Caenorhabditis elegans: one gene and its partners. The protein of the gene in region 2 interacts with the protein of the main gene of each other region in a pairwise test. Each region holds a gene or a part of one and is shown on either strand. Other genes may lie near its edges.

Region 1 (7,767 bases), on a different chromosome or scaffold from region 2:
ATATATGTAGATATACCAGCGACTGGCAAAATTTATAATGTATCAAAAATAAATGTCTATTACTTGATCATTCAAAAATGTCTCACCAAAAAAAAGTTGGAACATTATCGATTAATTTGCATTTTCACAGGTTTTTTTCTCTCTCGATAGGATATACGTTTCAGAAAATTCACAGACAACATTAGAGTTTTCTGATTTTTTTTACTGGAAAATTTTAAAGAAACTACTAAAATATTCGAATATTCCGGAAGCAAAAATAATGAAAAACTTCTAAAGTACCTTTAAATACATTATCCAAACCAACTTCCAACTGAATACCTCTTCAAAAGCTCAAAACTCTTCTTCCCCCAAAACAACAGTAACCCACAGTAATATCCCCCCCCCCCCCCCCCCCCCACTAACTCTTAACCAAATGCCTATTCAAAACATTCAACTCTTTTTCCCCGAAACTACTGTAACCCCACAGTAATCCTATATGAATATAGAGATTTAAATATACAGAAAAACTGCAAAATACAAAAAAAAAATCCACCGAACGGGTGGTTACGGTAGGTAAAAAGTTTTGCACGTGTCAGGACCTAAACTTGCACAACAAATTGCTCAATATTTAAGTAAGATACATATATCAAAACTCAAATTTGAAACATTGAACTTCCGAAAAATGATGGCTTTTCCCAATTTTTCCCTTCTATGTCACCACGTATGTTCTTGTGAGCTATCGAAGATCATTTCTCGTCTCCATCTATTTCCCGAATATTATAAAGATACGCCAGCTCATCGTAGAGACAAGGCGACCGATGATTGATTAGAGCGCGAATTTGAAGTTTAAATGAATTGGATGATGATGACGAAGCGGCGAGTCTTTTTAACGAAAAATGACGGGTGTTTTGGTAAGAGAGTGAATTGAGATGAAGTTTTTGGTATTTTGAAGTTTTCAGATTATAGGGGATGTAAATAGATGACAATAAATTTATATGAAATTTAGTAATAGCAACAAAGAAAAAAGTTAAATAGGAAACCCACATATTTCTACAAGACACTTTCGAAACATTAGTCAATAAAGGCACTAAAAACATGAACATACAGGGAAGAAATTATGGTGAAAAAAAAAGAATACTGAGAACAGAAAAATTATGTCTAAAAAATTTTAGGATGGGTGATAATGGCAATACGAATAAAGCACCTTGTGGGGGAAAATATTAAAAAATGATGAAAAAAATTAACTGGCACAAATCCTATAATGGGCGACCGGTTCTTTGCATTCTCATTTTTTCCAGCCGACTTTGGAGATGCTTATTGGTTTCTTTTTGCTCGTCTAACGCGTTTTCTTTGTCTCGAAGCTGCAAAATTTACAAATTAGATTTTTTTCTCGCAGAATAATTTTTAATTTTCCAAAAATAAATCGAAAAAGGTAGTTTTTCGATTTTTTTGTTTTTTAACAATATTTTCAAAAAATTCGATCTTTAGAAAATCGGCAAAAATTTTTCGACGAAACTGATCGTACCTCTTTCTTTGTTTGTCTCATTTGAGTTTTTAACTCGTCCAATTCTTTTTCAGCTACATCTGCATTTGATTTGTACCGCTTCATTTGCCCCTCCATTCTGATCACCTGCAAAATAAATGTTTGAAAATATAACTTCTTCAATTTAGAATCTCACATTTCCTTGTTGATTTGTATTTTCTCGTTCCAGATCCTGCATTTTCAGCTTCATCTCGGCGAGCTGTTTGGCGGCATCTTCTGGAATCCAAGCAAGCTTTTAGAAAATGTTCAATTATTCTTTTAAAAATCATAAATAGCTGAGAAACTTAGGACAGAAAATTAACCAATCTCAATCACAACGTCTAAAAATGAAAATTATATCTTACTGAATTGTCGCCTCAAAATGTCCTCCCGTATGTATCCTTTGAAAATACATTTTTTTTAAACAAAAATAATTTCTTCTCTTGTTTGATCAAAAATGGGCGTCGTCGAAAAATTTTTGATGTTTTGGTTTTTTTTAACATATCTAATAGAAAAATTGATAAAGCCAATTTTTGTTATTAGAAAATTTGTTTTCTAATGAAATTTTGTTTATATTGATGAAAAAAAACAATTTTCCTTTAAAAATAAAAAAAGGGCTAAACTTTCAAGATAAATTTTCAATTTTTTCAAAGTATCGGGAAATCACCACCGTTTTTTTCTGATTATTATGCAAAATTTACGAAAAAACCTACTGTTAACATCATCAACTCCTTGATTTGGAATCACATTTGCCGAATCTCGTGCATTACGAGCATGTCGTTGCGTGTAAATTGTCTGTTCCAACTCCTCATAATCTTTTCGCATCTTTTTGTTCGTATCAACAAGTTTCTGGATTTTATCATCAAGACTCGCCGCACCAGGAACCACTCGATCAACCAGTCGAATCGTTTCTCTTTTGAAGAGATATGGTCCAGATCTTCTGAAAAAAAAGTATTTCCATCATATACAGTACCACCAAATTAATTTTCAACTAAAAAATGCCAAGAGAACTCTTGCGTGGGGGAGCATTACTAATTCGGCAACGCAGTGTCGCGCCTTTTTTGTGCCGACAACGAATTTTCGATTCAATCAACGATCCCCCGGGGAGCTACTAATGCTAATGGATTCAGAACATAATGAACAAGAAGAAAGGGGTGCGTCATTGACGAAAAGTGCCGAGACACTTTTTTCGTTCCAAGATGTATAGGGAAACAGTTATTCAAGACAAGGGGCCGGTAAAGGGTGATTTGTGGATGGGCGACAATCCAAATGTTTGATAATTCTGAAATTGCCGAAAGAACCGATTTCCGAATACAAATTCGGCAATTGTGGAATTTTCGAAAAAATTCCAATTTCAAGAATGAAAAACATGAATTGGAAGAAAAGCGTTGTGTCTTCATAAAAAAAATATTTACTACAGCAGAGATTAGTTTTAAACCAAACTTTAAGGTTTTTTAATTTCGGTGATTTTATTTCCGTTTCAAACTAATTTTCTGAGATCAATTAAATCCCGAAAGAACTAAGATCAAAACTTCTCACGTCAAACAAAATGTTGACCTCTTTGCATCTTCTCATTTTTGAAGAAAGCCGTATCTATATTTAGAAGCCTCCCGCGCCGCGTGATTCATCAATATTTCAATGGTTCAATGTTTCTAGTGTTTGTTCTTCTCAACGATGACTTTTTTGCTGCACATCGCGCATTCTTTGGAATAATTTTATTTTATTCTCCAAGATTTTCGAGACATCAACATTTTCAGAAGAAGGCGGCAATGATGATGATAGGGGAAAAAAAGAAGAGGATGAAGACATTTGATTAAGCTTAATGAACGAAAAAGACATACGGACAACAACTTCATCGCATTTTTCCCTTTTTCATGGCCGTCTCCTTCCTAATCAAACAATGCAATGATGACGAATTTAGAAGAAAAAATGTTGAAAAGTTTTGAAAGTCCAAGGGACCATCGGAATACTCTTAGTTATAATATCACCAATCACTAAGATATTTGAAAAAGTCAAACATGAAGTCAACGCGTGGCACATCACAGTTACGAAAAATTGTTCATATTTTAGAATTTGGCTTTTTCCTTCTAACAAGGTATTATTTAAAGGCGAAATAACGGTTTTTAGTGGGGAAATTGTTCAAAGTGACTTCTATAATACTAAAAACCTAACATCATATATATTAAAGAAACTGTTAGCATTTACAGTCAGTTTCAATATACGCATTCAATTTTTTTCTCGAAAACTTGAAAGAAAATTTACAGAGTATTCTAAATATATTTGGAAAAGTGACTCTATCTTTTTCAATCAGTTCTAGACTTTTTTTGAATGCTTTTTTGACGAAAAATTTTCATATATTGCAAAAAAAATTTTTTTAGAAAAATGTGGTTTTTAATGGTTTCTAATCGGTTTGGTCTTTTTTTTTTGGTTTTTTATAAATTTAATTTTTTGGCCCGAAATTTTTATTTTAGTTTCAGAAATTACTAAAACCAGTTTCATGCAAAAAAAAAACTTACATTTCTCCAGAAGCGTTATTCGTTGATTCGGATCCTTCATCATCCGGATCTTCTTCGACAAGACATAGACCATTTTCCTGAAATAATTACTTACAGAGCAATACGAGTAAAACCCCAATTTAAATTTTGCTTTGCAATATTAAGTATATTTTAAAGAGTCTCTTGAAATCAGAACAAAGGACTTTCCTAGCTTCTCAGGTTTTTTTAAAATCGATTTTATCTTTTGCTGGTTTTAACAATTATACGCCCACCTGTATAAGCTGATCTCGCTGTGAAATTTCTTGTTTCAGCTGCTGTTGAGAAGCGTGTAACGCGTCGATGGTCCGTTTTAAAGCTTTAACTTCACTCGTAAGATCACGACATTCTCGAGATGATAAATTCAAGGATGCATCCTTCTCTTCAAGTTCATCTTTCAGAAGATCAACCTGGAAATTAAGATTTTTTCATAAATACTTTCGAATAAAACACCTCATAAAGTAACGTTGATTTCTCATTATCCAGTTGAGAATATAGAAACATGACTTGTTGAACACGATCTTGGAGCTCGATCACTTTATCCTGTGAATTATGAATTTATATATTGTTAAAAACAATTTAGATCACTCACATGCAACTGTTCCTGTGTCTGATTAGATTGGGATGACACTCCATTCGTGTTAGATGTTGACTGCAATTAACAACAAACAGTTTCTCAAAAGGAAAATTTATGTTAATTGGGGTTAAAATATAAAGTAACACGAGAATAGTTAGACATTAATTTAAAAACTTAGATTTTTTTTAATACGGCAGTAGTGAACTCGAACTCTACGAACTAACATTTTTTGGATCTCCAGGAATTTCGGTGTTTATATTACCCAGTCGCGAAAGTTTGCGCAAATAATACGGTACTAGGTCCTGACACGACAATGCTTTGTTAAATAAAAAAGGTATGCACCTTTTAAAAGTACTGTAATATGAAACTTTCGTTACTATGGTATTTTCAACGATTTTTTTTCCTTGTTTTTTCGAATATGAAATTACAGTACTCTTTAAAGGAGCGGTCCTTTTTTTTATTTAACACTAATTTGTCGTGTCGAGAAAGAGTACCGTATTTTGGACGAAAAATAGCGAAATTTATTTTTGATTTTCTAGGATAATTAATTTCGCAAGATTTTTTGATTATAAAAACATTTAAGAAACTTTATTTTAGGGCATCTTAATTTTGCGTGAAAAATCAATAACGAACATGTAGTTTTTCTTTAAAAGAAATCAAGAATAATTTATGGAAATCAGGATACTTTTTGAACTTTTTCAACGAAAATTTATTAATATTAAAAACGAAGGGTTACTGAAAATGAAAAACGTAGTTTCGAGAGTAAAACTTCAACGTCAAACGTGCATTCTCGTTAATAATCGACTTACAGCAGTATCATGACGATAAGCTTCCGCATCTTCTTCAACTTTTTTTTCTAACAACTGATATCTTCCTTGTCGGGCTTGTTCTCGTGTTTCTCGTTTCAATTTCATTCGAGCTTCCGCCTAAAACTTTTAGTTTTTAATTCGAATTTTTCAAATTGTTAAGATACCTCTCTGGAAATTTTGTCTAATGCTCTTTCTTCGGCTTCTGATCGGGTGATAGGTCGCCGGCGACCACTGGATGGGTATGAGCTCATGATTTCTGAAAATTGTATGTGTTTATGGTGTGTGCACAAGAAAGGAGAATTTGAATATTTTAAATGGCGAAAAATCAATAACGAACAGAGAGGAAGCAGCAGTGAAAATGAGTGTAATGTTTCCAACGCGCGTTGTGTCCGCGCGGATTCCGTCTTTCGAGATTTATGTCAATATGTGTGAGGGTTGAGTGAGGAGGAGGGAAATGAGGGAGAACAGCCTTCCGCAAAATTCAGGATTTTTATGGCCTGTGAACATGACAATGAATTTGATCTCTTTTTTTTATTTGATTTCAGATACCTTTTCTTCTCTGTATTTAATATTTATTCTTGTTCACAATACAAAACAGTCTACATAGGTCAATTTCTTCCTAATCCACGAACAATGCAGTTTTTGGCATTTAACCAAGCCCCTAATTCGGTGTCAACAGGTGTTTTTGAAGAGCAGATGGTGTTCTTCTCGTTTCTCTCTTATTCATCGCGTCTGGAACACCGCACGCTGTGCTCTCTACGGCTCTTACTCTCATTCGTCGCGCTCATTTGCCTAAATTGACCAGTCTGCTCGCTGTGCTCTCTCATCGTTCAACCAACATTTCTCACTTTCTTTATGAGGACCTCATACACACTCAGCCTTCTAACTTTCCTTATTATTTACTTTGGCTTCAAAAATCCAAATTAATTTTTTAAATTTCGAACCACTTTTAAGTGCATGTCACTGTCGTCAGTGTTAGTGATTACTCGTCTTTTTTTTACGCAGGTTGCATTCAAAAAACGGAAAAAGTATAGATTTTGAATCTATATCATTAAAATTATTTTAAAAATGAATTCAAAAATGTGTATAACCAAATGTACATAAAAATTATAAAGAATTGAATTGGTCAAATAAAAAAGAGCCATTTTTCTTCAAAAAAAATTGATGGTATGAATGTGCGCTCTAATGAACACTCTCTTCGCTTCGAGACCCGTCACTCTTGTTCGAATGATTTGGCCCGGTTTTGGGGCGGTTTCTTAGCCTCTTTTTAGATTTTAAAGCTTTTTTAAACGTTTTTTATGCTTTTCGTGTTAAGAATATATTTATTTCAAATGCTTTTTCTCAAAAAAACAAAGGTTTTTAGGTCGAAACTTTTCTTTCATTTCTTTTGGATGGGTTTATTCGAAAATTTTAGGATTGAGATACTGTATTTCGCAATTATTATTATTGAAGAACTATTTCAACACCCTTATCTTTGTATTTAATGCTGAAATACTTTCGAAATTTCATTTTACTTCAATTTCAGAAACTCAATCGCACTTCCAAAAGTTAATTTTTAACTTTTCAACCCACCTGTCATGACCGATGTTAAAAATGATGTGAACGTATCTTCGGTGGTCGATGCCGACGGCTTGATCGAGGTTAGTTAATGTACATAATTTATTATAATTTGAATACATTCAATTTTAGGGAAACTATGATCAAGTCGTCGAATCTTTCGACGACATGGAGCTCAAGGAGGAGCTTCTTCGCGGAATCTACGGATTCGGTTTCGAAAAGCCATCTGCTATTCAAAAGCGCGCAATTGTTCCATGCACCACTGGAAAGGACGTCATCGCTCAAGCCCAATCTGGAACTGGAAAGACTGCAACTTTCTCGGTCTCTATTCTTCAGAGAATCGACCACGAGGATCCACACGTGCAAGCTCTCGTTATGGCCCCAACCAGAGAATTGGCTCAACAGGTAAACTTTCTCACTCAGTGTATTTTAGTTATAGATTATTAGCAGATACTTTTAAAGAAAACTTTTCAAAATCTTTCTTTGTAGATCCAAAAGGTCATGAGCGCCCTCGGAGAGTACCTCAACGTTAACATTCTTCCATGTATCGGTGGAACCAGTGTTCGCGACGATCAACGAAAACTCGAAGCCGGAATTCACGTCGTTGTCGGAACTCCAGGACGTGTTGGAGACATGATCAATAGAAATGCTCTTGACACATCCAGAATTAAGATGTTCGTTCTCGACGAGGCCGACGAAATGCTTTCTAGAGGTTTCAAGGATCAGATCTACGAGGTTTTCCGTTCCATGCCACAAGACGTTCAAGTAGTCCTTCTTTCGGCTACTATGCCA
Region 2 (5,357 bases):
TTTGACCGATTCTAGACCAAAAATAGGGTGGAAAAACTCGAAATTTTCGGTTTTTCAGCGCAAAAATTGCCTGTTTTCTCGATTTTAACATAAATTTCCGTTTTTCTGAAAATTTTCAGATTTTCCTCGAAAATTGTTCATCTACTCACTATTCGTGAAACTCTGAAATATCTCGATTGAGCTCCCCGATAAGTGCCTCCAATCGCGTATAATTCTCAATCATCTGAGCTTTTTCCATCGTCCATTTCTGAGCTTCTCCGTCTTGATCTCGAGCTTTTGCCACTGAAAGAGCAGCTTCCAACTCTAAATTGTGTTGTTTCAATGTTTGATTGTGTGTGCTCAATTGAATCCATTCTTTTCCTTGCTTTTCAAGTTCAGCTTCAACATTTTCAACAGCTGCCGCCAGCTTCAAATGTGTCTGTTTTGCGTGCTCTTTTTCCGAAATAAGCTTCTCCTTTTCTTGCTCCAACTGCTCATGTAGCTTCTTCCATTCTTCTTGTTTCTTCTGTAACTGAGCTTCATGTTCCTTTCGAATCGTCTTCAGCTCTGTTGAAAAACTCGAATTCGTGCTTCTCAACAGCTTCAGCTCTTTCTCATGCTCTTCATTATTTTTGACAGCTTTTCCTGCGGCAACAAGTTCTTGCTCTTTCACACGAAGTTTTCCTTCAATTCCCTGAATTTGACGAGCCAATTCTGATTCGTGAGCCTGATTTTGAGCCACTTTTTGCAAGAGTTGTTGGCGTTGAGCTCTGAAAAACAGGAGAAAATTCGGATTTTAGGCTCAAAAGTGCAATTTTTTGGGTTTTTTCACATTTTTAGAGCTTTTTTTGGCGTTGAGCACTGAAAAATTGCAGGTTTTTAGAGAGATTTTAAGCGGAAAATTGAAAATTTTTCCAGCAATTTCAGCGTTTTTTTAGCCGATTTTTAAGACCAAAAGTTGAATTTTTTGCTGGAATTTGTAATTTTTGGCGAATTTCTTAAAATTCACCGTTTTTTGAAAGGAATGCCTGCTCGGACTCTTTGAGCTCAATTTTAAGAAGTTTTTAGGGATTTTTCACAAATTTGGAGCATTTTTTTGCGTAAAACTGTCGGTTCTCAGCCCGATTTTCAAGACAGAAAAGTTAAATTTTTGAATAAATTAGGGTTTTTACCGTTGTACAACAATTTAGGCTGAAAATAGTAATTTTTAAAACAAAATTCTACAATTTTCACGGCCAAAATGTCGTTTTTCAGCTGTTTGCTAACGAAAAATCGTCGAAAAGTCAAATTTCGGCGGGAAATTGGAAATTTTCAATCGATTTTGCCTAATTTCCGTCAAAATTGACTAAATTATGGTGCATTTCGACTGAGAAAACGATTTTTCATCAAATTTTGGAGAAAATTGCCTCTTTTTTTGTCAGAAATGCGTGGTCAGCAATTTTAGTTCAGAATTTTTAAATTTCGGACGAAAAAATATCATTCTTGGCCCAATTTTCATGAAATTTCGTGATTTTTCCACGTTTTCCATCGAAATTCTTGAATTTTCGCACAAAATTATCATTTTTAGACCAATTTTCATCAATTTTCACGATTTTTCTCAATTTTCCGCGTAAAAAATCGACATACTGCTCGTGTTTCTCGCGTTGTTCCACAGCCATCTTTTCTTTATTCAATTTCTCAATTTTCACAGCAGATTCCGTCATCTTCTTGTTCAAAGCCTTAACTTCCAGACTCAAATTATTCTTCTGAGCATCAGAATCACGGAATGCTCCAGCCAAGAATTGAATATAAGCTTCATCGAGTTCTGGGAGTCCGGAGAGCTTGTTGAGCACCTTTTTCTGATCCAAATCCTTCAAATTCACCGATTTTCGCTCTTTTGGAGACGATTTTTGAGTTGTTGGAGCTGCTGGAGCTGGAATTGGAGCAGAAGCCTGAGTAGATTCCACTTTTTGGACTTGAATTTCCGGTTTTTCTGGAATTGGAGCAGCAGAAGCTTTTGGTGATGGTTGTTGCTGAGCCGTTGGAGTTGGAGCATTTGGAGCAGCTGGAGCAGCTGAAGCCGGAGCTGGAGCGGCATCTTGTGCTTTTTTGCCCGTTTGCTGTTGCTTCTTTGTCTTATTTTTTGGCTGTTTCTTCTTCTCGTTGTTGTCAGTCAAAAGAGCCAATGCGTCGCGGTTGTAAGCCTGAAAATTTGAAAAATTTATAGATTTTTACAGTTTTTTTTTTGACTGAAAATGCCAATTTTCAGCACACAAAAATCCTTCTTTTTGGAGAAATTCCTTGGAATATTTGTTTTTTTTTTTTGAAAATATAATCGTATTTTATTCAGAATTTCCCCCAAAAAACGACATTTTTGTGCCTAAATTCCCATTTTTTAAACCAATTTTTATCAGGAAAACCGAATTTCAGCGAAGATTTCATCGAAAAAAACAAAAAGACGATTTTTGTGTTGAAATTTTAAATTTACACCTGAAAATTGGCATTTTTGGCCTGAATTTGTTCATTTTTGCCTTAAAAAACCGAAAGAAGCCAATTTTGAACCGAAAACCTTCTTTTTTTGGGAAAACTTCGATAAAAATCCAATTTTTGATAGGAAAATTGTTTTTTTTAAGTGAAAAAGAGCAATTTTGCTCATTTCAAGTCAAAATTCTCGGAAAAAATATCGAATTCCTCGTTAAAAATCGTCTTTTTTAGAATAAAAGTTTGCTGAAAATGCCGTTTTTCTGATAAAAATTAATTTTTTTCAACAATTTTCAGGCACAAAAAGGTATTTTTCGCAGATTTTCAGTCAATTTGATGAGAAAATCCGAGGAAAATTGCCTTTTCAGTCAGAATTCTCTGAAAAATATCCACTTTTCTCGTAAAAATTTAGTTTTCCTGGTTTTTTCGCGGGGAAAAAAAAGTTTTAGGCCAATTTTAGGTCAAGGAAAATCCGGTTGTTAAGCGAAAAAAGTCGATAATCTCTTGAAATTTCACTCTTCTGATCAGAATTCGTGTGAAAAATCTCAATTTTTCCACGAAAATCGTTCCGAACCTTGTCAAAATTATCCTCTTGTCGATTCATGAATATCATATAATAAATTGCAAACACAAATACACCAACACCACCGAGAATGCCGAGAGCTGTTGATGGATCGACGAATGACGAGTCCATTGGCTGAAATTATTTAGCATTTTTAGAAATTTTATAGAAAAAAGTGGGAAAATGGAGAAATTATCGAAATTCGGAATTTTTAATCGAAAAAATCGAGTTTTTGAGTAAAAAATCTCTATGAAAACGTGTAAAATTCGAAATTTTCGAAAAAAATGGCACTTTTTCAGTGTAAAACCCTGAAAAATCGATTTTATTTCGAAAATATCAAATTTCCCACATTTTCATAGAGATTTTTTACTCAAAAACTCGTTTTTTTCGATTAAAAATTCCGAATTTCGAGCTATTTTCAATGGATTTCTCGTTTTTAGTGGAATTTTCTATGTTTCTTCTCTGAAAATTATCGATATTTCAGCTTTAAAATATCTGAAAAGTTGAAAAATGACTCCTGTGTCGATTTACGCGGCTCTTGTGTACTCCTCGTGGAGAAGAGTTACAATTTTAGTAAAAATATCCAAAAATGCCGCATTTTTACTATAACTGTACAAATCTTCTCTTCTCCTCGAGAAGTACACAAGAGCTGCGTAAATCGACAAAGGAGTCATTTTTCAACTTTTCACATATTTTTAAAGCTGAATATCGATAATTTCCAAGAAAAAATATGGGATTTAATGTGAAAAATTGAGTTTTCAATAGAAAATTCCACTAAAATACCTCGAAATTTGAATTTTTTAATAAAAAAAAATCGAGTTTTTGAGTAGAAAATTCCACTACAACCGAGAAATTTCTTCGCTGAGATGCCAGTTTTTCGGGAAAATCCATTTCAAAGTTGAAAATTCTTCCAAAAAAAAAAAAGTGGCATTTCGAGCACTTTTCTTTACTTTCGGGGACGGCAACTGAGAATTTCACACAGAGATCGGCAAAGTTGAAATGGTGGTGATAAAAATGACAATAATAATTGCATTTCCGTTGGGGTAAAGACAATTGCGCGGGCCGCGGTGGAGACAACTTTTATATTAAAAAAAAAGTTTTCGCAGCCCGCGCGCGGGGAACGACAAAGTACACCCGAAATTCCGAAATATCGAGGTCAAATAGAAAATCATCAAGAGAGGGGGTGTATCCCTGTGTTAATCAATGAAAAACTTTGATACTTGAGAAACCTAATAGGAAGAGAAATTGTAGGCTTTTTGTCGTTTAGGAACACACTTCTGTAGGCCCACGTGGTCCCCAGGTTGTCCCATTACGGTTTGATCTACAAAAAATGCGGGAATTTTTTGCCCAACAAAAAATGTGACGTCAGCACGTTCTTAACCATGCAAAATCGGTTGAAAACTCGCGTCTCAAACTCTCCCGCATTTTTGTGTAGATCAAACCGAAATGGGCAGCCTGGCACCCCTGGTGTGTAGGCCTTGAACGTAGGCCTACCTGCCTGTCTTTGAGGCGACCGACTCCGCCTGACTCTCGCCTCAATACGTGTTACGTGTAATTTGATTTTTTAACAAATTGATAGAAATGAGAAAATTTGAAAACTCATGTCAAAATGCAGCAAAGAGGCGAAAGGCAGGCAGATTTCAGGCAGGCATCATTCTCTGAAGCCTTGCCTGCCTACCGGCGGTGTCAGTGGGAATTTTGCTTTGAAACACTCGAAAAAATAGACTAAAACAGTCAGTAAATTCGAAAATTTCAGGTAAAATCCAGTTTTTTTTTTCCATAAGATTAATTTTCTAGGAAAAAAAATTTGGTTTTACCGACCAAAAAAATCCCAAAACTGGGCAACATTAAAGTCAGTTAGAAACCCTGGTTAGGCACCAATTTTCAGAGAAACCTGGCCCAAAACCGGTCGATTTCCTCGATTTTCAGTTCAAAAAACTAAATTTCTTGGAACAAAATCTCAAAATACGGACGTCAAAGCTTCAAAAATTCCAGATCGCTGCTGGAAAAGCTGGAAAAAAGTGGGCGGCGGCGGAAATGCGAAATTCGAGGAATTTCGGGATCTGCTGCAAAGGAGAAGAAACCCCCCAAAAAAAGTACGGGAAATACCGCAGAGACACAGAGAAACAGGGGGCACTGCAGCCACGTCCTCTCATCCCTCCCGATGCTTCTGGACATTCCCTATTGCTCTGTCTGGTGACTCTCCACTCCACGTACACTATCTATTCGTGGGCAGCGCCAATGACAGGCGCTGGGCGCCAACGAGAGATCACGGGAAGCCACAGAGACTCAGAGAACGGACAGAGTGTCTGGTGTCTCTTGTGTCTTCAGTGTGCAAGTGTCTGCGTCTTTTGTG
Region 3 (4,430 bases), on a different chromosome or scaffold from region 2:
CACCACAATCTCATCATGGCCATTGCATTTCAACTGTTTGAAATATTTAGAACAAGAGGGAAGATGCTCGATAGTATTGGAATAACTAGTCTCTAGTTATTATATGAAATAAAAGATGGAATCGTCTGAAACAGGGGTGAGCGGCAAACGATTTTTTTGCCGAAAAAATTCGGCAAAGTGTGGTTTTGCACTTTTTTTTTGGAAATGACAGAATTTAATTTCAATCGGCAATATTGTACGCATCCTATGAATGTTCCTACATCTATTTTGAAAAGTAAGCCAATTCTATGAAAAAATATAAAGAAAACGGGAAAATTTTCAAAAAGGCATTTTTACGAGTTTACGTCGTATACAAAATCCCGAAACATTTCCGGCAAATCTGATATCCGGCAAACGACAAATCGGCAATTTGCTGAAATCTCCGGCAAATCGGCAAACCGGCACTTTGCCAGAATTGAAAATTTTTGGCAAATCGACAGTTTTCCGGAATTGAAAATTTCCGGCAAATCAGCAAACCGGCAATTTGCCGATTTACCGAACGGCAAATGCCGCCCACCCTTGATCTGAAATATCCTTGTTTAACTCTTCTCAAAATTCCTTTCTATGTAGCTATTTTTGTACAACTCTGTATTTAGATTCAATGCTCGAAAGAGCAAAATGAAGTATTTATTGAACAGAATTTTTGAGGGATAAAACTAGCCGTAATAAATTTGTAATCTGGGAGAGAAATCAAATCCCTCCAACCCGGAATTTGTTTAAAAAATAATTGCTGTAACAATCAAGCTCGTGCTGTTAAGAATGATATTAGTGTTAGGTAAGTTCGACGATAAAACTCTACTTTTGGAGGCAATAAAGAATTTTTGAGGAAAGAAAACGAGAAAAAAAGGAAAAAAAGAAACAACGGAAGGACGGGTGCTATAAATTATTGAACAATTTTTGCAGAATTAGATACATTTTTGGAAATAAATCAGTCAGCGCTGAGCAGCAATGGGTTGACTGATCGGGCCGACTCCACAGTGTGAATTTGCAGATATTTGCCTTCTTCGACCTTCTTTCTCTCTCCAGCAACTCGTGTGTACATGAAGAAAAGTCCGAAACCAACTGAGGCTGCGGCAAGAACAAGAAGAGCGATCTGAAAAATTGCAAGATATAGAAATTTCAATTGTTACTTTTTAAATTAATATTTCCTTAAGAAAAAAAACTAATGAAAACTCACGATAATGAAGTTTCTGGTGACACTTCGGGAAGCAAGCACGTCACTCGAATCTGTAAATAAATGTTAATTTCTCATGGAATAAAAGGGTTTTTTTACGTCTCAAAACAGCTCTGCAAGTATGAGCTACTGCTGGGGAACATTCTTTCTTGTGAATATCGTCTGATTCGGCAGCATCCAACATACAGTGGCAAAGATCATTGGCGCAGAAATCCACAGAATGAACAACGGCACAGAGATCGAAATTATTAGCACATGAAGCGAGGGTTACTGGAAAATGAATAATTAAAGACTGAAACAATGTTTCGACCACTTACTATTGGCATAAGGACACTTGGAATATAAATTCATGAAGTCACTCTCCATTTTCGGAACTGTCTCAGGTGTAACCAACACATTTGCTGATGGTTTCGTAGGATCAGTGTAATTTGAATCACCATAGGCGGACCAGCCGAGCACTGCGAGAATGAGACATGCATCATCTGCTGCTGCACGGCATTTGTAACCTTCTTCGGTAGGCAAACGGGTTACCATCTGGAAAAAAGTTTATTTTGAAATTGAATCTTATTTCGATTGAACTTCATTTTAAAAAATTTCTGAAAATTACTAACACGATTGCATTCACAAAAATCTTCATCGCATTTCTCTTGACCCTTCTGTTGACCGTAGCAGTCGTCGTGAATCGCACAGCAGTGATTGAGAGCAGCTGAAAATAATTTTAAATTAAGAACTTTTTCGTAATAATTTATTAAAAGAAAATTGCTACCTGCAAGAGAAGGACAATCTCGAACAGTAGCCTGATAGGTATAATTCCGCGTACTTCCTTCACTTCCACAATGCCAGAGCTCTGGTGAAATGAGCATTCCGGTTGGCTGTGATCCACCCGAGCCAAGAAAAGGAGCAACGGACCTCCTCCGTCTCACCTCAAGTCCACTGAATAATGGTAGCAACGTTATGATGACAAGGGTGGCGGATTGGAGGAACATACTCTTTTGTATCTGTAAATAATACTGATTGAAGATTGAAATTGATGCGGAAAGTGGAAATGGGGAGCGCAGAAAACCGTAAACCGTAAACTCCAATTTCACAACAATAAAAAACACATCGGTGCGGAGAGAAAATCGTCGACAAACTAAAAGAAAATTCGGCTGATGGTTTTTTGTTGAAAGATTGTTTAGAAAAAATAAACGTATTTCTTTTTTGTAAAATAGGAAAGATTCCACGAAATTCAGAAGCAGAAATGAGTTACAGCAAACAAAGATACTAGAAATGAATTTATTTGGCTTGTAGGCAGAAAGGAAAATCGAGTGGAAACGGTCCTCAGTTGTTTTCACAAAAAAAATTTCGCGCTAAAAATTGGAGAGAATAAAAAAGTGTGCAATGCGCCTTGCGTGAACCACACAATTTCAGAACTACAGTACCTAATTGAAAATTTTGAAAAAGTGAACAAAGTTTTCGAGGAGTGTGAATCATTGCTGGTTTATTTTTTATGTCCGCGACTTTATCATCAGAACAGAGTACTAAAAATAGTTTTTTTCAACGGCAATGATAGTGTAAAAATCTGTATGGAATCTCCGAAGAAGGAAACATCCAGGAAAACTACGGTATATTAAACTTGAACCACTAATGATAAGTGACGAGAGACTTCGTTAAAATTAATTGAAATCGAAAAAAATTAGCACTGAAGTTATAGGGGGATTACTGTGGTTCGAGTTTTTTTAGTTGACATGAATAGGTTGCATTTATTATATTTTTAGAGTCTACTACATCTACAGTAACCCATTGAAATCACGAAAAAGTTACTCCACTGGGGAAAACGCTGCTATGACTAGAAAATGCATAGCAAGTGAGAAATGTGTCGAAAATGACCTAATTGACAAAATCACCTCATTTTCTATTTACTCATCCAAAATCCTAACTTTTTTCGTGTATTGGCTACACACAAGTGCTCACAAACGGGAGCAGCTTCCCTATCCCACTTGATAGTGCAATCGAGTAGTTTGACAGCTCAACGAGAGCCGTAAAAATGGCCTGATCACCACCACCATAGTCTCCCTCCTTCCCCGCCTACGCCCCTTAAAACACCCCGTAAAGAGATCTCTTCCTGGCGGTAAAATGAACAAAGGAAATCTGTATGGGGTGATGGGAAAACGAAGAAAAGTGGTGCGAGATTAAATGAGGCATTGAGGAACGAACGGTTGCAAAGATTGTATCTTGAAACTGTAAAAAACGAGGAAATAAGAGGATGAAGGATGAATCTACCAAAAAAATTTGAAAGTCGAAAAAAGTTGGCATATTGAAAAGTTCTGACAGTTGTTCTGTGTATCACTGGTATCTGTTCTGTGTACCCATCATATCTCGGACAACCAAATAATTTGGTGGGTGGAGTTGGTTTGTAGAGCTCAGATACCTCTCGAGATTTTGGTAAGTTATCTTATAGAATTTAAGGAAACAGAAAAATCATATTACAATTCAATAGGCTTGCAACAGTCCTCTTGGTCAAAATATCCAGAACTGAATATTGCATAAGCTTGCAAATATGGAAAGCTTTGCTACTGTAGTTTTCCTGTGGATCAACTAAGAACAAAACACAACATTCAAATGGAGAAAATAGAAAATAATTTCAAAAACCATTAAAGCTTTCTGGAATCAAAACATAGAAGAGGAATCCCTTTGAAAATTGCCGATGTTATTTTTCGCACAACCAACTATATTGTTCTTTTGATTTTTTGACTACAGTCAACTTTACAAAATCCAGTAAAATTTTAAGTTTTATTCGAAAATTGAAAAAAAGAAAAAATCTAATAACAATAACTTCAGTATCAACACGTGTTCGAGTTACGCCGTCATAAAAGTTAAAACCACGTGACACCTCAAAAACGAGGTTTACGAGCAAAAATAATAGAGGAGGGAGGATATGATTGACATGAACCCTTCAAAAATCAAATCATAAGTCATTGAGAAGATGGCAGGTTCTTTCTAATTCATTCTATCATCATTTCCGGGAAGTTGGTTCCATCTTCAAATATCTCGTAATTCCGATAAAAATACAGATCTCTGACGAACAGAGCTGAATGATCCGATATGAGTTACGTAGTTGATATCTGATTGTCGACCCGTGAATGGAGATTCATCTAGAATATGATCCTTTGCATGACCTGAAAACATTTCAAAATGAGAAGAGTCTGGATGCCTGCCAGTTTTTTTGTCTTTTTTG
Region 4 (6,608 bases), on a different chromosome or scaffold from region 2:
AACCTTTAGGAGCCCAGTAATTAATTACCGGTAATTTTCAGAAACATATTACTTAATTGAAACCTATAGGTTATAACTTGAAAAATGATAAACAGAAAATTAACGGAACGGGTTACTGTACCACTTAAAGGGGCATATATTGTTATTTAAGGGTCCAACAAACCTTGGTGCACTGACGAACGACTTGTGCGGCGATTTGTGAATAACGGACGTAGTTGAGTCCAGCAGCTCTCCAGGCGACCATTTTTGATTTTGGGGGAAAGTTATTTAACCTTAATTTATACTATAAAATAATAAAATTTTCAGAAAAAGGAAGTAAATTGAAAGGTATGGAGAACAACCTTTAGACTAGAGAAATCTGTAAAATAAAAAATAAAAACTTTATACAGTCAAAGTTCAACAGGAAACTTGATAATATTCGAAAGTTACTGAATAATAATTAGTTGGTCCAAAATGGAAACAAAACTATCAATAAATATTTAATTACATTAAACTTATTTCTCATAGTTTTCAATGATATTCTCACTCCAGAACACTAATCAGTTAAGCTCATGCGTTTGTTGGTTATTCTTGCTCGTATGTTATTGTAAAATCTTGTTTAAAAAACAGCAAAACGTTTATTTAATAACAGAAAAAATAATAATTTTATTTACTGGAAGAGCAAAAGATACAAAAAAATGAATTACGCAATTGGGATGTGCGGGGATTTGGGGGCCGAATTGTGCAGAAACGAAACAAGTTGATTTCTTATGAAGAATGATAGGGGGATTTAGCAAGCAAGCTTTAAAGACACTCAAACGCATGCAAAAAACAATCATAGGAGTGTTGGTGGGTGACGGGGGGAAGAACCAGACAAAACCTCGTGTCAGATTAGTAAAACTGAAACAGGAAAATCGTATAGAAACAGACTATTAGAACAAAAAGGCGGAAAAAGGCAATTTGGGTGGGGGTGGAGGGAAGCTTTAAATACTTTTAGCTTTTGAAGTTTTGTATTCTACATGGAAGACGAGAAGCCAAGGAACGAAATGGGGAGACACAACCAACCAAATGAAGATATTTTTGTTGAAACTTCCAGAAGCCGCGTAATTGTATAAGTTACTAGATTTTAAAATAAACAGAAAAGCCCATCGAAAGTATATCACAAAGCCGGGAAAAGAAGAGAGATAGAGAAGCATTTGAATGTCAGTCTTCAGTGTATTGATTGGATCAAAGAAGACGATGAGTTGATGTTGTTGTTGGGAGACATTATGCTGAAAAACTTTGATTAGTGAAAAATGGACGGACAAAAGACTGTTAAATTTGATAATACGGTAGGAAGAAAAAGAAACACTCACTCTAATTCTAATTCATAGTATAATTACTTGTGAAAAATTACATGAGCACTAAAGAATTTTTAAAAAAATCTTAAATTTCTGCAATCAACTGTGAAATAGTCATTTTTGATGGTATCTGATTGCGAGATGTTGAAGGTGTAGATGTCTGACTAAACACACCGTTTGAGCCATTTGGAGCTCCTTGTGACATTCCTGCTGACGGAGACGTATACACTTGTCCTGGACGGATTGGCTTCACAATTTGTGGAGCATTCATTCGTCGCATGTTACGTTGTCGAACAGCTTCCTTGATTCGTTCAACTTCTTGTTGATACTTCTTTCGTTCTGCTTGACTACGTTGCTTCGAATCACGAAGAGCAGTTTCTAATATTTTGATGCGATCTTCACGACCACGAAGACGAGCTTCCATCTTTGGCAGTTCAACGCGCAAATCGGCATTGTCGCGAACAAGCTGAAAATTCAAGTTTTAAGATAATCAAAATGAGAATAAAAACGACAAACCTGCTTGTGAACCTTCGTCAACTTGTCCAAATTGTTCTCCAAGAACTGAATTCGTTGCTTTTGAGCTGGTCCACTGAGAGAATCTTCTCCCTCGGTGTCTTGATTGGCTTGGCATCGAGCAACAAGTACTCTCATGAACTCCTTTTTCAAATTCTTCAACGTTGTAAGCTCCATATTGACACGATCTGTTAGTGGCTTGATCTCCTTTGCCGCCTGATCCTTCACCAGCAATTGTTTCATTCTACCCGCGTCTTGACCAGATTCAACACGAGCAACATCAGCTGCAAGTTTCGCTTCAGCATCATGCTCGGCAGCTGTACTGCTCTCTTTCGCAGCAGAGTATTCTGAGAAGAGTTTTGAAACTCCGATTCTGACATGGTTCAGAAGATCGTGATCAGGAAGTTGATCATTTTGAGAGGCAATGTCAGCAATGTTGAATTCACGAATAACATTGTAGATTCCTTCTTTGAAATGACGGATTTTTGGACCACATTCGTCAAGATGAGCATTGAGGAGTGATGTTGCTTGGTTCATTCGATCTTCCAAACTCTGGTTATCTTCTTGAACAACTTCCAACTCTCTCTTCAATTTTTCGCATTCTGCTTGTCGAACATCCAAGTTGACAGCAATCTCTTCCAGAGCTGTCATCATTTCCTTTCCTTCTTGCTGCTTGTCTTCAGCTTCTTTTTGGAATCGGTTGTTCTCTTCACGGATCAGCTCCTCGTTTTCACGCATAGTTCCCAAAGCTTCTTCTTGGAGAAGAACTTGTTGTCTAAGCTTCTCAAGCTCTTGCGAAACTTTTTGAATCTCATCATCTTTCTCGTCGAGTTGCTGATACAGTTTGACACGTTCCTCTTCGTACTTCTTCTTCTCTTCGTCAGTGATCGGGCCAGTTGTAGAAGTTAGCATTGGAGGAGCTGGAGCAATCGAACGTTCCATGAGTGGAGTCGACCCACCAGAAACTTCCGACACAGCCATTTGAGCAGAATCTGATAGATTGACCCATTCAACCTCAGACACTGATTCTCCAGCACGCCAGCGTGAAAGTTCCAAAGCCGCTGCCTGGAGAAGGGCGGCCAATCGAGTATTCTTCTCTTTTTCTTTCTCATATCGCCGTTTCCATTCTTCTGCTGTGAGCTCTTCGTTGATTTGTACAACATTCTTGATAGTCTTCGCACGTGCTCCGAACAAAAGTGTGGATTTAGTTTCAGCTTCGTTGAAATGTGACGGAGAAGCACAAATAATAACTGTAGTACGGGAATTTCCTCCTAGAGATTCTTGAAGAATACGAGTCAGTTTGGAATCACGATATGGAACATGAGATTTCTGAAATAAATATTCGTTTTAAGAAGGTCATAATTTAAACAACTCACAGTTCCTTCAGCCAATGCTGAAATAACTATTCCGAGTGCAGTAAGTGACTTGTTGATGTTTTTGGCTTCTTCTAAAACTGTTCCTTGAGCTCCAGTTTTGCTCACTTTCTCAGAACCAGCCAAATCAACAAGATAAAGCTTTCCGGTGAGCTGTTTCTTTGTTGTCTGATGTTCTTGTTTCACAGTAATCAAGAAGACGGAATGAGATCGAGAAGAATGTTCGTTCATGTCTGAAATTTCGTTCACATGTTAATTTGTTTAATTTTAAGTTTACTCACTCGTAACTGCAACCATTCTGTTGGATTTTCCATCTTCGATTGCCTGAAGAACCTCATCGGGTCCTCCAACAAACCGTTCGGTGGCTCCCTTCACGTATGGCACTCGATTTTTATCTTCATGAATGGACAAATTGACCTTCTCGGGGTCTAATAAATCTCGAATCTTCTCGTTGTAAATTTCATAATAGGACACTTTGATGTGAAATTGAAGATTCTCGTCCATACTATAAATGTGGTTAAAGATGTCAGCAACGATACGTGGAATGATTCCCGACAAGCCATTATCACCGATTACTCCCTGTAAAAAATATGAAAATAATTAAATTATATTGTTAATTTCATCGAGCGCCGAATATTTTAAACGTAAAAATTATCAAAAATCTTTCGGGCATTCGATTTCGGAAATAACTGCTGAAAATTAGTTCTCAAACTTTTCTTTTCATTAATCAGTAAAGATTTGCACTGTTGATATTACAACTTGATTGTCTTTGTCGCATTCTACGTAATTATCAAGGTTTTCATAATTCCTACCTCCATTGTATGTGTTTTTCCGGAAGATGTTTGTCCATATGCAAAAACTGTTCCATTATAACCGGATAATACATCCTGTACGATGTGATAAGCGGCTCCTTTGTACACTTGCTCTTGCGTGGTGTTCGGCTTGAACACTTTATCGAACACGTATACTTTTCCCTGAAAAATTCCAACAAATCAATCGATATATATATATATATTCAACTTTGCACTTTTCGTGTACTTTTCAAACAGATGAATGTGTCATGTGAGAGAATTGACACACCTGCATCCCCCGTGCTTCCCGTCCCTGTTGACATAATTGTTCCCTATGACCCCTTTGTATTACTCACCCCAAGCGATATACTGTCCTCGGAAGGGAATTTGGGCAGGAAACGGTCCGCATTCTTCTCCTCGGTCTTATTGAGCGGCCGAATACGACAAAATACCTGAAAACAATATGAAATTGGAAAATCTAGGCGGGGAAAATTAATACCTGGACACCGCATTCTGCTCCGTCTGTCCGCGGCTCCATTTTCAGAGAATAATGATCACCAGTTGGCGGTTTGTAACGGCGCCTATCGTATTAATTACCCGGCTTCTCCTTACAATGCCTGCAATAAGTATAATCAATATGCTGAGTAGAGAACAAGAAAAGATGACGAGATGCAAGAGAAATAGAGAAAGGAGGAAACGGCAAAACATTGCGAAATTTCGGAATATTTCATCACTCGTCTCGTGCGCGATGCACAGAAGCTGCGAGTTTTGTTTGATTGGGCGGCTTTGACAAAAAATAAACTAAAGGCTCATAGATTATGGATAGACAACGGAATGATAACAAAATAACAAAAACTGCAACGTTTGTACTGAATATTCAAAATTTTCACACAGAAAATAGAGAAATAGAAAAAGACTGGCGTCGATCAAACGTGGCACACACAAATTTCACAAATTTATGCATTTTTGGTTAAATTGTTCGAAAAATGAGTTCGGAAAATGTTTTATAATTGAAATAATAGCTTCAAAACAACAGGAAACTTCTGGAAACAATAAAAGTTTTTCCCGCGCGGAAAAATGTTTTAGTTGGCAATTTGTCGTGAAATCTTGGGTTTTTCGAATTACGTACGTTTGCCTATCGTATTTTCGGTCAGATTAATTTTTAATTTCAGTTTTCTTTTTTTTTTCAGCAATGCTTATTTAATTACTTATTTATATTTGACATTTTATGTATATGCGCGAGAATTAAAAATTAAAAACAACTTGCAAAATCTCGTACATTTTCAAAATTTTATACTATAAAATTAACACCATCCAGCAGTGCTCAGTAAACCCGTTCATAATATACCCAGATTTAAACCAAATTAAAACCGTACAAGCCTATATTGTGAATTTATCTGCACAAATTTGGTTTGGATCTACACAAAATCGATTTGGAAATACACAAACCTACACAAATTCAGTTTACATCTACTCAAACTTGCAATCTATGCAAATTAAGTTTGGATCTAGACAATCTTGGTTTACATCTGCCCAAAATTAGAATTTTTCATAATATAGGCTTGTACGGTTTTAATTTGGTTTAAATCTGGGTATATTCTGAACGGGTTTACTGAGTGACAAGAAAGACAAAGTGAAACTGAAATCGCAAATCCAAAAACTAACATTTCTCCACGATACTTGTCTCTTAACTTTTCGGAATGAATATTAGCTTCAATATTATGCAATAACATATGGATAAATGCGGTTTTAAATAAATTTCATAGATAAATACACAAACTAAACAAGATGAGGATATCCGAGGGCAAATAAGGAGACTCAAACCAAATATGGTCATCAAATTGACAATGAGTAATGGCCAATACGACACGATACGGCAGATGGTGAAGGAAGGCGGGGGAGACCGATTCGGATGCGAAAAAGAACGATAAGAGAGAAAAGACACTGCAGGTGGGAGTATTGTGTTCAGTAGATTTTCGTGGTGGGACCTAGAGGATGGTCGGTGCAAAAGCTTCATTGAAAAAGAGTGAAACGAGAGGAGAGACACACTCACAACATTCATTCGTTTGGCGGGAAAAGAGACGAGGGAAGACTTTAGTATTGGGTGGTAGAAAGAGTTGGAGAAAGAAATTCGAAGGGATACAAGGAATGTATTGGCATCGTGAAGAGACACAGAGATACATCCGTGGTTCCCTGTGTTCTCTTCATTTTGTATAATGTTTTATTCTCGGTCAGAGGGACAACGGACGGCCTCTTCAAACACTCACAGAACATTCGCTCACTGCGCTCACTAGTAGAGAATAAAGGAAGTTACGAGAGAATGAAACTTCGAAGATAAATCAATTTTATTTTTTAAAATCAATGTTCGTAAACTTCGAATTAAGTGAAACCGTAATTTGAGATATATGAGTTTTGTTTGATCATCACAGCTACCATTTTCTCGGTCCATAGCCACATTGAGACAATGGATCTGATTCTGGTGGTTGATGATATAGTGGTGCATATCCTGCTGCTGCAGATGGATCATAGTGATTTGATGAAGCAGATGATGAGGCATGTACAGAAGTTACGGGACGTGACGGCGTTAGATAAGCAGTGTGATTTGGAGGCTG

The links.
Region 1: the proteins of tcc-1 (region 2) and flap-1 interact in a two-hybrid assay, tested with the Caenorhabditis elegans proteins (one large-scale study listed by BioGRID).
Region 3: the proteins of tcc-1 (region 2) and F35C11.5 interact in a two-hybrid assay, tested with the Caenorhabditis elegans proteins (one large-scale study listed by BioGRID).
Region 4: the proteins of tcc-1 (region 2) and unc-116 interact in a two-hybrid assay, tested with the Caenorhabditis elegans proteins (one large-scale study listed by BioGRID).

Annotation. Positions count from the first base shown.
Region 1 is NC_003281.10:6,923,142-6,930,908, forward strand, and holds flap-1 (Leucine-rich repeat flightless-interacting protein 2), read right to left. Parts: upstream 5,675-7,767; 5' UTR 5,670-5,674; coding exon 5,583-5,669; intron 5,536-5,582; coding exon 5,419-5,535; intron 4,685-5,418; coding exon 4,625-4,684; intron 4,576-4,624; coding exon 4,486-4,575; intron 4,443-4,485; coding exon 4,269-4,442; intron 4,095-4,268; coding exon 4,018-4,094; intron 2,442-4,017; coding exon 2,215-2,441; intron 1,739-2,214; coding exon 1,659-1,738; intron 1,610-1,658; coding exon 1,505-1,609; intron 1,341-1,504; coding exon 1,236-1,340; 3' UTR 959-1,235; downstream 1-958. Other genes in the region: inf-1 (Eukaryotic initiation factor 4A), read left to right, coding at 6,996-7,058, 7,108-7,380, 7,465-7,767.
Region 2 is NC_003283.11:17,852,854-17,858,210, forward strand, and holds the start of tcc-1 (Ribosome-binding protein 1), read right to left. Parts: upstream 3,137-5,357; 5' UTR 3,134-3,136; coding exon 3,014-3,133; intron 2,163-3,013; coding exon 1,606-2,162; intron 750-1,605; coding exon 150-749; intron 1-149.
Region 3 is NC_003280.10:8,251,523-8,255,952, reverse strand, and holds F35C11.5 (Phospholipase A2), read right to left. Parts: upstream 2,210-4,430; 5' UTR 2,200-2,209; coding exon 1,980-2,199; intron 1,920-1,979; coding exon 1,825-1,919; intron 1,748-1,824; coding exon 1,531-1,747; intron 1,484-1,530; coding exon 1,313-1,483; intron 1,267-1,312; coding exon 1,217-1,266; intron 1,133-1,216; coding exon 968-1,132; 3' UTR 634-967; downstream 1-633. Other genes in the region: F35C11.4 (uncharacterized protein), read right to left, coding at 4,235-4,371.
Region 4 is NC_003281.10:8,350,562-8,357,169, forward strand, and holds unc-116 (Kinesin heavy chain), read right to left. Parts: upstream 4,614-6,608; 5' UTR 4,535-4,613; coding exon 4,496-4,534; intron 4,449-4,495; coding exon 4,353-4,448; intron 4,180-4,352; coding exon 4,018-4,179; intron 3,785-4,017; coding exon 3,487-3,784; intron 3,439-3,486; coding exon 3,209-3,438; intron 3,162-3,208; coding exon 1,836-3,161; intron 1,786-1,835; coding exon 1,494-1,785; intron 1,251-1,493; coding exon 1,246-1,250; 3' UTR 603-1,245; downstream 1-602. Other genes in the region: R05D3.6 (Putative ATP synthase subunit epsilon, mitochondrial), read right to left, coding at 164-244; Putative RNA-binding protein R05D3.8, read right to left, coding at 6,426-6,605. UniProt on the Caenorhabditis elegans protein: Microtubule-dependent motor protein required for organelle transport. Plays a role in endosome transport. Required for the transport of mitochondria along the axon of motor neurons. Involved in the nuclear migration of hyp7 hypodermal precursor cells.